Kluyveromyces lactis: one gene and its partner. Each later gene encodes a partner of the first gene's protein in a complex. Links are inferred from orthologs where the notes say so. Each region holds a gene or a part of one and is shown on either strand. Other genes may lie near its edges. The genes, in order: SPC98 and TUB4.

What was found.
Region 2: the proteins of SPC98 (region 1) and TUB4 are in contact, whole or in part, in a cryo-EM structure (PDB 7M2W), measured with the Saccharomyces cerevisiae proteins. The link is inferred for Kluyveromyces lactis from reciprocal best matches to the Saccharomyces cerevisiae genes SPC98 and TUB4. Residues at the interface, in NP_014273.1 of Saccharomyces cerevisiae: Lys478, Met483, Gly484, Lys485, Ser486, Asp487, Met489, Asp490, Ile493, Glu494, Leu522, Ser524, Arg526, His527, Leu528, Ser531, Pro532, Arg533, Asn534, Lys594, Asn597, Tyr598, Gln601, Met604, Leu605, Lys606, Asn608, Asp609, Ile611, Arg612; in NP_013313.1 of Saccharomyces cerevisiae: Met1, Gly2, Thr44, Glu45, Arg46, Asp47, Asp48, Asp49, Thr50, Lys51, Asp131, Cys159, Pro163, Lys164, Lys165, Ile166, Glu196, Asp197, Ser198, Asp199, Pro245, Ser246, Tyr247, Met248, Tyr249, Ser250, Ser251, Ser253, Ser254, Tyr256.

What each region holds. Positions count from the first base shown.
Region 1 is NC_006042.1:2,256,713-2,264,431, forward strand, and holds SPC98 (Spc98p), read right to left. Parts: upstream 4,786-7,719; coding exon 2,305-4,785; downstream 1-2,304. Other genes in the region: ESBP6 (Esbp6p), read left to right, coding at 295-2,253; FAR11 (Far11p), read right to left, coding at 5,098-7,719. UniProt on the Saccharomyces cerevisiae protein: Involved in microtubule organization by the microtubule organizing center, the spindle pole body (SPB). Probably part of the microtubule attachment site at the SPB.
Region 2 is NC_006039.1:1,417,935-1,424,958, reverse strand, and holds TUB4 (gamma-tubulin), read right to left. Parts: upstream 3,280-7,024; coding exon 1,870-3,279; downstream 1-1,869. Other genes in the region: LDB17 (Ldb17p), read left to right, coding at 203-1,657; KLLA0_C16225g (uncharacterized protein), read left to right, coding at 4,416-4,973; ECM5 (Ecm5p), read left to right, coding at 6,426-7,024. UniProt on the Saccharomyces cerevisiae protein: Tubulin is the major constituent of microtubules. The gamma chain is found at microtubule organizing centers (MTOC) such as the spindle poles or the centrosome, suggesting that it is involved in the minus-end nucleation of microtubule assembly.

The DNA of each region.
Region 1 (7,719 bases):
GAAGTTAGCGAATATTCCTCGAATTCCTAAAATATGAGTAATTGAATGACACATTGGTTTCTTTTTGCCAAGGTGTTCTACTAAGAAAGAGGATCGGTATTATTTTCTTACGCTGTTGCAGCTTCAGTGATCTCCTTTAGGTAACCGAGTTATATGAAATAAGGAATTAGCTGAATTTCTTTAGTCATCACATATATAAAAGCCAGCTCTGAAGAAAAAATAAAAATTTCTGGAAGAACATAGCCAACTCATTTAAAGAATCTTCTACTGAACCTGGTGACCTCATATTTTCTGATGAGACCAACAGAATCTAATACGTCGGAGATTGATTCCATTTCTTCTGCTAGTGACGTTTCTCATATTTTGTCTGACCCGCATGGATTTGTACCGAAATCCAAAAAGAGTCAACTGGCAGATTCAGACCAACGTATCACTAGAAGGCTTTCTGAGCCTTCTAGTATCAAGACAGCGGACACAGGACGGTCTACTATCATTACTGGTATTTCAAGAACTGTTACGAGGACTTTGAGCACGATCAAGAAGGCGGTTGATGATGATAATTTACAAGCCGACAATAACACCGACGATTTAAACAAATTGTTGGAAAGAAATTTTGATATTGATGATGCATTACGGTTGACAGAAACAGCTAAGAGAACTGACAGTCGTTACACCACCAACACTAATACTAATACTAATGCCAATGCTGTTAATGCTAAGGGTTCAGATAAATGGTTTGATCAAACCTCTGATAGTGAAGGTGAATATCGATCGGAAGTTCCGGTTGAACTAGCCGGTGATGATGAAGGCCAGACACTTAATAAAGTCTTTACCAACAAGGAGACCAACACTTTGGATCTTCCACCAGAGGGAGGATACGGTTGGGTGTGTTGTCTTTGTGTCACACTTGTTATGTTTTCCACTTGGGGTTGTAATTCGGCGTTTGGTGTGTTTCTAGCATTTTACTTGAACAATTCAAGCTTTCCAGGTGCTAGTAAATATGACTATGCATTAATTGCAGGTATGACTGTATTCTTTGGGCAAGGGTTACCTCCGTTTGTTCTCTTATTTATGAGAATCTTTGGTTTAAAAATTCCAATGTATTTCGGTATTGTGATTATGTGCTTGGGTTTCGTTTTAGCCAGTTATGCTGTGTCATTATGGCAACTATATTTGACTCAAGGTTTCCTTAGTGGCGTCGGCATTTCGTTTATTTTCGCTCCTGCCACTACCGTTTTGCCTGGGTGGTTTCTTAAAAAAAGATCATTTGCAATGGGTTTATCATTGATTGGAACAGGAGCAGGTGGTGTTGCATACTCTCTAGCGGTTAATAAAATGATAGAAAATACCGGTAATCAGAGATTTGCATTAAGAATCCTTGCTATCACTTGCAGCATAACTTGTGTAGTAGCAACCCTTTTGCTACGTCAGAGAGTTCCAATGAAGGCTACTGGGATCAGAAATTGGAAAGCAATCAAGCAACACTGTAATGATATGTTCTCGATGCACATATTCAAAAAATGGACAGTTCAATTAATTGCAATGTGGTTCATGTTTGCATTATTTGGATATACTTTAATGATATTTACTTTATCCTCATACGCTGTTGCTAACGGCTTGACTGCTCATCAAGGTTCCTCGCTAACGGCAATCTTGAACGGTGCCCAAAGTGTAGGTAGACCCTTAATTGGATACACAGGGGATAAAATCGGTAGAACGAATATTACTGTTATGCTAACGTTACTTTTAACAATTTTCATGTTCGGTTTTTGGATCCCTGCTGACAGTTATTCATCTTTAATCGGGTTTTCAATATGTGTCGGTCTATGTATTGGTGTAGCTAATGTTATGAACACCGTGCTAGTTGCTGACATCGTTGGACCGGTAGATTTTTTGCCCGCTTGGGGTTATGTTAACTTGGTGGGCTCTCCATTCATGCTTGTTGCTGAAGTTATTGCACAAGCGTTGACTGAACCCAACTCCAACGACCCATATCTCCACACTCAAATATTTGCGGGATGTTGTTTCGTTGCGGCATTACTCCTTATATTGGGATTGCGGGAGGTGACAGCAAAGATAAAGATAAAAGAAAGACAAACGATAAATTTGCAACGGTTAAAGGATTATGATGATTCAAACTTATCAGAAAAAGACAATAACATCTTGAGAGAAAGAGAGATCAAGTATGATTACTTACTTGGATCAGGCATCAAAAGCTACTTTGCAAGAATGTTTTATCCAATGCATGTATAAAACTCTTTCCACAGAGTCATCTATTCTTTTCTTCCGTCTATAAAAGTAGCATTAGTGAAGTATCTTACTTAGTTTATTTATTTCAGTATTTTCATCCCACTTCAAATCCTTGATATAAGCATTGCATTCATTATCAAAATCCTTCCATTGATCAACCAACTTCTTTGAAATTACATTGAATCTCATTATCGGGTCATGCAAATTTTGGTTAGGATCTAAGTTCATCTGAATGCAAATCTCATGAATGACGTTATTTAGCTCAGAGTAATTTAGCACAAACTCATAACTCATATCCATCAATAAAACCAAAGTAGTTGGATACAGCTGATGAGTGTATGTTCCAAGCGAAGCACCTGAACCTGAATATAAAATTGGATGATTCAAAATATTTGATAAGAATACAGAATGAGCTCTTTTTAGATCCTCAAGATCAAATGAAGAATAGCCGCTAACATCATCTGTCGTAAGTTCTTTGAAGTTTTCGATAAAATGAAGATCAGGTTTTAAAACACCGCTTGAGACTTTTACCCCATTTCTAAGCACTTTAACTTTAACCGAGGAGGTTGGATCGGTATCTTTATGATTTAGATTCGAAAGAAGCTTCCTAAATTCATGTTCAATAATACTCTCGAAACAATATGTTTCAACTTTTTTAGTGAAAGATTGAATCTGATTCTTTAAAACATTGATCATTGAAACTTTATTCAGTAAATCCCTAATAAATGGAACCCTGATGTTCAGCTTTCTAAAAAGTTTAAGAATGGATGAATTTTTTTGCCATTCTTGTTCATAATTGTACTCATTCTTTTTAATTCTCCATAAGAAGTTGAAAATTCTCAGATAATCTCTGCGGCTTCCGTGTTGGTTGATATCCATTACTGTTGAAAGAGGCTGATCCACGAGATAGTCTAATGTGAAAACATCCCAACCCGAAGATCCATGTGCTAATTCCAAAATTCTAGCATCAAGCCTATTCACCAAGAGATTGTTATCTGATTTGTTCAATCTATTTCTCAGAGATGATTGTTGAATTGCGATTTGTAGACACTTCGTTAAATGATGGCTTTCTAAAAGTTGAGAAGGTTGGTTGAAGAGATTTTCCGAGTTTTGAATAATAGAATCAATCACATCGCTTTTACCCATTAGAAGGATATCTTTTAAAAGGTTGAGAGTCTCGAAATAATAAAATTTCGATCGTAATGTGGTGTTGATATAGTGGTTAATTTCACCATATTGCTGGTTAACCAATTCGAAAAATTTGTGATCCATTGAAGGGCCTAATAGCCTATATTGCAATGAATACTTATTTGCAAATTTTCCAATCCATTCAACTTCGCTGCAGCAATGTTCGAGATATCGGAGGGACTTTCCAATAATGTATATTTTTTTGGCCACTAAAGACGGTATAAATTTTGGAATTTTCTGTGGCAAGAATACCAATCCCAATGGTTCTTTCTCGTCATTTTGAACAAAAAAGTCACTACTAACATTTGAATCCAGTTTTCCATCAATCAACCAATCGCATATGTTCTTCATGTAGGGTTGTAAAAGACGCTCTAACGCATCAGATGCAAATTTCTCGAGTACTGGATCACCATTACTTTTTTGTAACTGGCATACAGATAGTAATCCCTCTGCACTGCTTTTTTCAAAGTTTTCAATATATTCCATATATGTCCTTAGTTTTAGTACTTCAGGATAGAGGTGTTGATATGTAAAACATAATGGATCGAGTGGATGTAAGTGGGATGAGAAATTGTTGACGAAATTACTATAATCTCGAAGTTTACTTTGAATCAATGTCAAAAATGCTACTTTTAGTGTACTGGTGGTAACATGTTTTTTAAGATATTCCACTCTAATTTGAAGGTGCAAGTAAAGTAAGCCTGCTTCAACGATATCATGCAACTGTTGGCTTTCTCCGTTCGGAATATTGCTGGGTATTGTGAACTTCTTGTCTTTTAGTTCGAATAAAGTAGAGGGTGTTCCCAACACAAGATAGGGTATACTTTTAACGATATCGGCCCTCGATACCATTGTGCTGAAATATGGATCTGATAAGCTTTGTAATGTAGCATCAGATGAACTATGTTGCCAAGCATTTCCCCCATAGGACCCAATTGACCTTCTGTCCGATACCTTCTCAAAATTCTCAAAAGAATCCGCATAGACGCTTTCCGTTGTTTTCCTTTGTATATTTTCTATCACTTCTTTCGACATTGGTTCTCTCATATCATACAACTCATCGTTTTTGTCTAAAAGTGACAAACATTGCAGTAAATATTTATGTTTTTCTTCCGGACTTGAGAGATGGCACATGATGCCGGCAAACATTTCTAAATGAGACCAACTTTTCATGTCCTGATTGCGTTGCACCATTATTTTTTTATAATATTCCAATACTTTTGTGACATTTTCCTTTGATGATGTTTTGATAGAGTAGTAAAGGTCCTGAATTAATTGCTGAGAATACGCACTGCCAGCAGATGCAGGAAGCATGTGTAGTACACATGTGCCAAATTTTTGGTCCATTATTGTTTTTTCCGTTACCCCACAGTAGAGATAGGGGAAGAGGCTCTTTTTCACATCTTTTACCTTTCACTTTAGCGCACAAATCGTTCTTGTTTGTTGATATTTTCACAAAACAATATCGATCTACTGTTGTTGTATCCAATGATGTAAACATAAAGTGAAAAAGGTTGTGAAATAGTCACGTGATTGACTTTGGTGACCATCACAAGGATTGAAGGAAAGACATATGCAGACATACATGTATACATAATATATATATCAATACAGTACATGTATAATACATTTGTTTAACTTATTATTATGCCATATTTTTTAATAAGGAGCAGAGAGTAGTTCAGCCTCCCTTGAAAAGAAAGAGTTAGAGAATTTGTCATCGTACCCGCAATGTTCCATAGTTCTTTTATAGTGATAGAAATTGTAGAATTGCAGCATGGCCCGTAAAGCAATTTCTTGGCCATAGGAATCGTTGATCTCGCCCGTGATATCCTTCCCTGTTATCCAGTTATCTGTTAAATGAAGTTTCTCATGTAAGAACACTCCAGAAATCAATTCCATATGATCTGCCCTCCATCTTTTATTCTTGAATGGTGCCAATTCGTGAATTATCTTTAATATGGGGTGGTATATGTCCAGATTAAAGATAGAATACAATGCCTTGAATATGTTACTAACATTAAGTGGTAGGTCTTTTAGCCTTTGTGTCTTTTTCCCAGTTATTTTGGATAACACTCGTAATAGATACACCTCGGAATTGAGCATTCGGAGATTTAATCTGTTTGCTTTCTCATTTGCGGTTGATATCTCAAGAGTTTCTTTATATTGAACATTGTATAAAGAACATTCACTCCAAAAAGAATGGGTAGGTTGTAAATGTTTAGAGTAAATTCTGTTTTGATATTGATCAGTAAAAGATTGAAGGATGCCTACGCTTGTCGTAATGAACTTTGAATCGTAAATCAACGAGCAAAGATACTCAAATTTAAGAAAGTGGCTAACCTTAAACCATTTTAAAAGGAGGAAAAGTATGGCAGAACTCGATTCCATTGCAATTTCCTTTGATCTTATAAGTTCCAATTGTGGTTGAAGCTCATTAATTTCTTCTTCAGAAAAATCCTCTTCAAGGTATACTTTGTTTGACATACAAGTTTCAATAGTTTCTAATAGAACATATACTAGAGATGAAAAATGGGGTAAAGCATTAGCATAATAATCTTCGATGCGATTCATGGTTTCAGGTTCCTCATTCTGTATACCTCTATACGTGAATGGGTCCTTCTCATGTACCTCAGTGTTTGTCCATCCTCGTTCTTGCACCATAAATAATTCTCTTTCATGCCATAGTTGTTTAGTAGATAGTTTTATATGCACAGATTTTGACAAAATTTCGATTGCTTCTTGCATGTTATACGGTAACACTGTCTCAGGCACCGCAATACTCAGCTTATTACTAAGTTCGTCTACCACACCAGTATCATAGTCACCAGAGGATGGAAAAAATGCTGGATATGATAAATTGGCTTGAAATGACTTCCTCGTTTTCAATCCGTTGGGCGAGCTTGTGGGTGATGCCGGCTGTGATGGTGCAGGCGTTGCCATATGCACTTGTGGCTCTCCCAACGACATGTTAGAACTGCTCCTCGAACGGGGTCTCGGAATCTCTAAAAATTGTGAAAGAGAATTGGGGTTGTCAAGCATGCTAGGATATGTCGGTTCTGGAAGCTGAGAAGATGGAAATCTTGAGGTGATATCTTCCCTAAAAGCAACATATTCCAATGGAGATATTGAAAGATTCGAAGCAGAGGAGTCTTTCTTTTCAATTTTGTGATGTTGAAGAACAAATCTCTTCACTGCGTCATAATGGCTCTCTTCACCAAACTGTAATAGAAGCACTTTATGGAATAAAATAATGATATTTCTTATTCTCATTGAGAGTCGACTTTTCCAACGCCAATGGTCTATATATTTTGTAAGGAAAAGCATCAAGCCAGATGAATGTACGACATCAATAAAATCTTCTACAGCTTTGGTGTGCATGCTTCTTTGCTCAATAGCTATATTGATCATAAAATAAGTGATTGAACCCGAGTAGAACAAAAGAGTATTATATTGTTGCAAATTAGTGTTCTTCACCCTACAACAATCTGCATGTTTCTTAAAGCAAGGTAAGAGTACCTTTGAAATCATCATCAATAGAGTATTATTCCTCCGTAGAATGTCTAAATGATGGAAATAACTGTTCGTTTCCTGAAAAGTTCCGAAAGAAATATACGCCAGACAAAGCAAGGTATTGATATCCACTGAATTTACCTCTAGCTTTTTACCAAGCTCTGTAATAACTTGAATAGCGTATTTACGCTCTTCGATAAATTTCGAACTATCATAGTTTTTTTCAAAGCTCAACTTTGCAGTCTTTAAGCTCCCATAGTCCTTTTGTATGAACCATTCTGATAGTTCGTGAAATAATGAATTAAAATCGGAAGCCTGCCAATCTAACGTAGGCTTGGTAAATGAATGTGAAAGATCACCTCTTTCAATCTCGTCTGCTTTTTCTTGTAACAACTTCTTTAATGCATCGTCTACTGGTAAATTATTATCTTCTTCAACTTTGACATCCTCATATGTAATTATTTTATCTTTGTCATTCAATTCGGGTGAAACCTTCCTTAGTTGCTTCGGTGATGCTTGTCCGTTAGTATATGAATCATAACCTTGGAAATAATCTTTCAGGCTACCAGAACTAGAACTGGGGGAGATTGGTCCATCGATCTCATCGACATTTGCAAACTCTGAATCCTCATCATCTTCTTCCCCATTAGCATCATCCTGAGTATCAATAATCTCACTGCTATTGTTCGCTTCATTAGATTGTCTATCTGTGCCGTTGTTTTCATGCTGCAATTCATTTGAATCACCCAAATGTAATTTCTTGCTAAG
Region 2 (7,024 bases), on another chromosome or scaffold:
AACGTAGGGCATTCCTCCAAAATACTGTCTGTCACATTTGCTCTCTTGAAAACATGTCAAGAAGATCCTTAATTGCGTTAGAACAAAAAACAGATTATAAAGTTGCGAACTGAAATTAGACCCTGTTTTTGAGAAATTTTAATAAAAACAGGTTAACAAACAATATATTAAGCATTGACAGCTATATGCCACTTCCAACAGCATGGCTACATCGATGACAATACAGGATGTCACTTTGGTTGAGTTTTGGGAGAAGTTGGAAGAGTTACTGGCAGAAGTGAATGTCAGAAATGAATCTGAGGTGAATTCTGCCTTAGTGTCTTTTGTGAAGATCACTGCTGATCACTATTCTAGCCTTATAAAATGTGATCAGGATTTATACAGAATAGGTCTTATGTTGGTGGAGTCTCCAATGTTCCAACAAACAACTGATTTCTGTTTAAGAAAACTCTTATCTTTATTGTCTATCGATCTTTTGGAATTAAACTTGAAATTAATTATTGCATATATCATTCTTTACAAATGTAAGGTTGACTTAAATGCATTGGACATCATTCTAGAGAATCAGGGGTTCCTAGTTCTCTATAACAATATTTACAGCAACTTTGCGTATCTTAATAAGTACGGCGATGAATATACTGGTGTCCCATACCAGGCAAATGAATATCATGACAAAGCCCAAGAAGATCCAAAAAAAGACACAAATCTTGAAATCATTGAAGACATTAAACACTTGACTACTATACTGATTGATATCATGTATCAATTCTTCAAGTACTCGAAATGTCAGATTTCCAATATTCAAATGATTGATGATTTCTTTATTTACTATCTCGTCAGCAGCATAAGATCAGATGTTGTTGACGACATTTTAAACAATGTCAAGTTTAAGCTTCTACTTGCCCTCAATGAACAATATATGATTTTTCAGTACGAATTTGATATCGAAAACAAGGCTTATGAGTTTTTATTGAACCACAACATGTCCAAGGATTTCATTGGGTTGCTTTTATTAAAATTTAATAGAGAAACTGACACCTCTTTATTGATAATGATCTGCAAAGTCATATATATAATATTGACTAAAGATTTAAAAGTGGCTAAGGATTTCTTTTACTTGAATGACTTGCATGTTTTCGTTGATGTGCTATTGAGAAACTTGAACAACATATCTGATAACGAAGAAATTTTAAGAAACACATATTTAAGAGTTCTAACTCCATTGTTGAACAATACGGAACTAGCAGCCACGAAGTATCACAGAAGTGAAATTTCTACGACTTTAAAATTCTTTTCTGATGTAGATAATTTCTGTTCTATTGAGAAGGCAACCCCTCTACAGAAGACCACCGCCAGGTTAGCAGCAAAATGTCTACACGAAGTCAAATGGCTCGAGCAAGAAAACCAATTTTCATCCGATCAAAATGACAGCGAAGAGAGTAGAAGGTCAAGTATAAGTCAAAAGTCTACAAGTAACACTCCTTTGGAGCCAGTGATGTCAACTACTCCTCACCTCTATAGTAACTTACAGAACTCATACTCTGCCGACTCTATCAATCATAAATCTAATCAACAAACTCCTCCCCCACCTCCACCATCCAGAAAGGTTAGACATAGGCAGGGAAGTGACCGAAAGCTAGCAATAGCTAAAGTATGAGCATCGAGACAATTGCATGTAATATTAAAGGGTAATATTAATTGTTATTAATACTAAAAAAAGTAAAATCTTCACAAGCCTGCAGAACTCTGATCTGCTGCATAATTTCCTCATTACAATCCGTTAATTAAATACACAATTAATAAATAATTAAATTGGCACAGAAATTCGTAAAAAATAGTAAAGCGATTTTAGCAAGCTCTCACCCATGTTTATATGATATTGTCGTCATTGATGTCCATTGCACCATCATCATTACCGACTAGCATGTTCTCTTCGAGTAGAATATCATCAATGTATGAATCCTGAGCAGCATATGTGTATTCGTCAATTACCGATTGTACGACTTCACGACTTTCTTTAAATTCATCCCAACCATTTTCAAACACTCTCCCATTTTGAAACTTGTGTAAGAAAGCACCTCTGTTGAAAATCGTATCGAAACTATTGCATGTTTTCTTAAGAAGTGAATTCACTGCCGTGGTATTCGAAAGTATGAGCCCGCTCACATAGTCGGAGTTAGAAGTTTTGTTGTATGGCGATTTTTTACCAATGTTGACGTGTAGTGAGCTTTTCGACCATGGGGCAAATTGAACTCTTTTTTGAGTCTTTAAGATACCTCTGGTAATATCTGATTGTTCTACCGATCCCTGTAATAGAGAGTATATGGCGATATACACAGGATCGTCTGCAGAATGGGTAACCATCGAATTGTTGGCATCAAATAAATCTAGTATTACATCATAACCTGTACTTCTCTTGAGATTTTTTGCCTCGGGTATGAAATCGGTGGTGAAAGAGGTGAAGCTTGGAACTAGGAAATGCATGTCGGGCGTGGGTACGATGGTGGAGAAAATGCTTGGTAGCGAACTGAACATATAACTGGGGAACCGTATGCTATTCGTTATGGAAGACATAACAGTCGATATCACCTGATTCGATTGTGCATAACTGACATTAGAATCCCTTAAAATTCTTGCCGTAATATTTGAAAGCGCATTGTTATCAAACACCACCGACGCATCACTATCTTCTATTAGTCGCCTCAAAGTAAGCATGGTGTTGTATGGTTGAACCACAACTTCGGATTCATCGCTGGGGAACACTGAATACGTGGTGACGAGCTTCTTATGATAGCTATCGGCCAATAACTCCAATAAATTCGATCCTAAACCTGATCCTGTACCACCAGCGACTGAATGGATCAATTGGAACGCTTCAAAATTTTCTGTCGCATCTATTTCTCTATCAATCATATTTATAAATTGGTCTTGATTTTCTGTACCATAGTCGTAACCTATCGACCATGTATTACCAGCTCCTAAATTATCCTGCGACACCCAAACGTTTCTTTCGTTAAAAAAACCTGGGAAACTGTTTCGTATATCGTTGATAATACTGGGCTCTAAATCGAAAAGTAATGCACGTGGAGTGTACCGATTTGAATCGTTTTGTTTGAAAAAAGTCACTGGATGGTCTTCTCTAACGGCTGTGGGAGAATCTTCTTGCAAACTTAGACCATCTTGTCCAATTCCATGCTCTTTCGCCAATTGTGACCAGAACTCTCGCCCAACTTGGTTCCCGCACTGGCCAACTTGCAAAGTAATTACTTCACCAGTCATCACAAAAAAAAACTCACCAAGCTACGGACAAAGCAAAGCAACCTGATGGCGTAAATTCTAAAATCAATCCGACATAACGTCACCGCTTTATTAAATGCGATTTCCCAGATCCAACCTGTGTTTTGTATTTGTTTACAGTTTTCGCGAACTATCAACAGATCCGGGTAACATATTTATGTAAGACACAATCTAGAACATCTCAACATGAAATTTCAATTCAGAGAGAATTAAGGGAAGATTAAGAAGGGGCCTGGTTTCTGAGTTTTGCCTTAAACGAGGTATGGTTGCTATTGGCACCAGTAGATGAGGCTCGTCACTGTGTGACATGCAAAAATTCAATCATGGTACAAAATGGCAGTATGGAGGCTTCTTGAAGCTACGAATTTCAAGTAATGTTTCCAGGGCGTAGATGGCAGTGCCAACGCGAGTAGCAATATATCTTTAAATAGAATAGCAATGTGACATAATAAGAAGTTTCATTGCATACCGAGCGGAATAGTTAAGGAACTAATTTAACAACTGCAGAAGCTTATGGAGACATGGTAATGAAGGTTTTTCTTTTGAGCTAATTATCTCCATAGTAGATGGGGGATATGTCTAGAATAGGTATTGTCGGATCAAGCATTTTTAGGGGACAAACTAATTATTGGAACAAAGTGGGTGGTTTATTGAACCGAGTTGTAAAAAGGAAGGCTATACTATGGGTTATATAATCCAATAATACTTCACATCGCAAGGGGCAACGGAGAAGCATGGTACTGTTAGTATTTGAGTAAAATTACGACATCACTCGCTGCTTTTTTGATTGCCCATGAACTAGAACTTGAATTTACGAGAACATCAATTAAGAATATGATGTGGATCACCACGGGCACTAAAGCATTTCGTAAAACTTTAGTGGGTACTTACCTAATCAATGGCAATTAATGTAAGATGCTATGCTCCAGCAAAATCGTTCTCAGAAGGTTTGCTATTTTGAATAAACCTGGATCAGAAATCAGTTTATAAAAGAGCAGTGTTTTATGAATTTACTTTCTAATCCAACTTGATCAAGGTTTGAGTTATACTACACTCAATTATATCAATTGATCACACTGTCCAAGAAAATCAATATCAAGAACATCTATAATATCAAAATGTCTAACATTCTACACAAATTCGCTGACAAGTTAACCGGTGATGATAACAATGACCAAAGAGTCGATGAACAAGGAAACAGATTAAACTCTCAACAACAATCTCACGGTCGTCAAACCGACATGGGATACTCAAACAAACCATCTCAACAATCTGGAATGGGTTCAATGGGTAGAGGTTCTCAGCAAGAATCTACAGGTAGATTCGATGATGATGAACTAAGTGGTGGACGTCAAACCAGATCCAAGAATAAGATGAGCTCTCAAGCTAAAGACCACTACGATGAATATGATGACGACTTCAACCAGGGTTCGAACACTAGTGGTGGACGTCAAAAGTACTCTTCCGAGCAAATGGGATTTGAAACGAGCCAGGGCTCTCGTCAACAACAAGGTGGACTAGGTAGCCAAGGTCTCTCTGGTCAGAAAGCTGGAAATGCCCATATTCCTGGCACACCTTCTGGTGCAAGAACTGAAGACTACACTTCCAGAACTAATCCCGGTTCTGGGGCAACCGGTGGTCAAAGAAACAACCAGTTCTCTAATGATAACTGGTAAATTAGAAATGACGAAATGATTTGAAAAGTTTATATTCACCAACACATTTCAGTTTAAAATGCTGTTTTATGATGCAGTCTGCTCTCATTTTGAATCTAAAATGTTATTGCCTTAACGACGAGTTTTTTTCTTAACAGCATGGTTGGATTGTTGAACAATGTAACCATGCAGTTCTCGCTGCTTTTTTTTTTTTTTATCTCCAGCGATTCCTTTCAAGGGATAAGGTCTCAAAGTTCCTTGTAGTTCGTTTTTATTTTATATCTATTATTTTAAATATACATCATGACTTGACTGATTTTATATTAAAGTAATGAAATATTGTCTATACTAGGGCTCACTTCCTCAGCTGCTGAACATTAATTGCCAAACTGAAGCAGTTTTGACAATATCATTGTAATTTCTGGATTTTCCAACGCACATGTGATTGTTGTTCATTGCGATCCTGTGGTTCTGTACTGTTATTATGGGTATCACTAGTTGAAAAATGGAAATACCTTGCGGTATAGTCAGGCAGTGCTAATAATCTTCTCATAGTGTCTGCGAAATTGTATATTCTAGTTTCCTCATTGTTTTCGGACTCTGTCACTCCATGAAATTCTGTCATATCTTACAGGACCATATGCTTACTAAGGATTGATCAAACCACGACAACAACTCCACACAGCTGAAATTTGTATAATGATTCTTTTCCGCGCGAGGAAAATGCATCATGCTCACTTATATACTTCTATTCTTACCTAGCACATTGTGTCTTTTTGACGTTTTCGGTGTCGATACTTAAGAAACTGACGTTCCTTGCTTATAGAAAACAAGAAATGGCATGCAAACGATTTGAAGCTTGCATATAAAGGGCCTATGATAATCTCACAAGCTCCTATATCCGGTTTGAATTTTGTTTAAAGACCGTGACTAGTACAGTTCGGAGTTGCAGGAGAAATGACCCGTCACACAAGTTAAAACCTTAAAATTTGGAAACGGTAAATTGTACTTTTGCTAAGTGTACAATTGTTTGCACAATATTCAGAAGGATAAGCAGAGCATGCTACATATTTAATTTATAACTACTATAATCCTTCTATATGCTAAAAAGACCATCGAAACTTAGCCTGCCAGAAATGTGCAACTCCCGTAAGGTTTTAAGCCTATGTGGAGGTTGTGAACGACATCATTTCTTCCTAAATTAGTCATTATACAAGCGTCATCTCATTATCTCATATATCGAAAAGTCTTTTATACCACGTGATATCAATGTTAATTTCGACAACATGAATTGGCGCTACAATACGAAGCGAAATTTGAGGATGAGGTGAAACATAACATCAAGAACTTTCAGTTATTGGCCATAGTAAGATAGTGTTTCGCTTGACCTTCTCAACCAATGGGAATCCAAATCGATTTTGTACAAAGACTAGGATTTTGCAACAAATTGAAACGATTTACTTCCTCTTAGTCATGGAGCATAAACAGATTTCCTCACTGCCAAGTAATTCTGTTTCGTTATTATTGAATCCAGCTCAAACGACCATATCGTACGCCAATGACGAAAGAAAACACGTAATAGATAAGGGAGAAACCTCCAGTCATTCTACCACTTCTAAAAATAAGTTTACTACCAATTCAGTCGCAGAAGCGCTGATACCGAAAATCCCAGTGCCCGACCAGTTTGAAAACAACCATTCCAAGACGACTCTTCCGAGGAAAGTTATAGACGGTCAATCAGCCTCTACTTCTTTCACACAAAATAACAACTCTCACAACCCATATTTGTATACGCAACACAGGACGAGATCTAATGCACCTTTCGATCCACTCCAAATTCATTGTGGAAAGGTTATCAATAATGCCAGGGTTGTGAGTGAGGGTACCATATCAGGAATTCATTATACAGTTCAAGAGGGATCGATCCCTACTATCACGGTCAAGGGAAACACGGATGATTTTCCCACGCCATTTGAACTTTATAGAATAATGGAACCACTTGGCAAACAATTCGGTGCTGTCAAGATTGACTTTAATCATTGTGATAACTCACCCTTCAATGCCTTTAATTT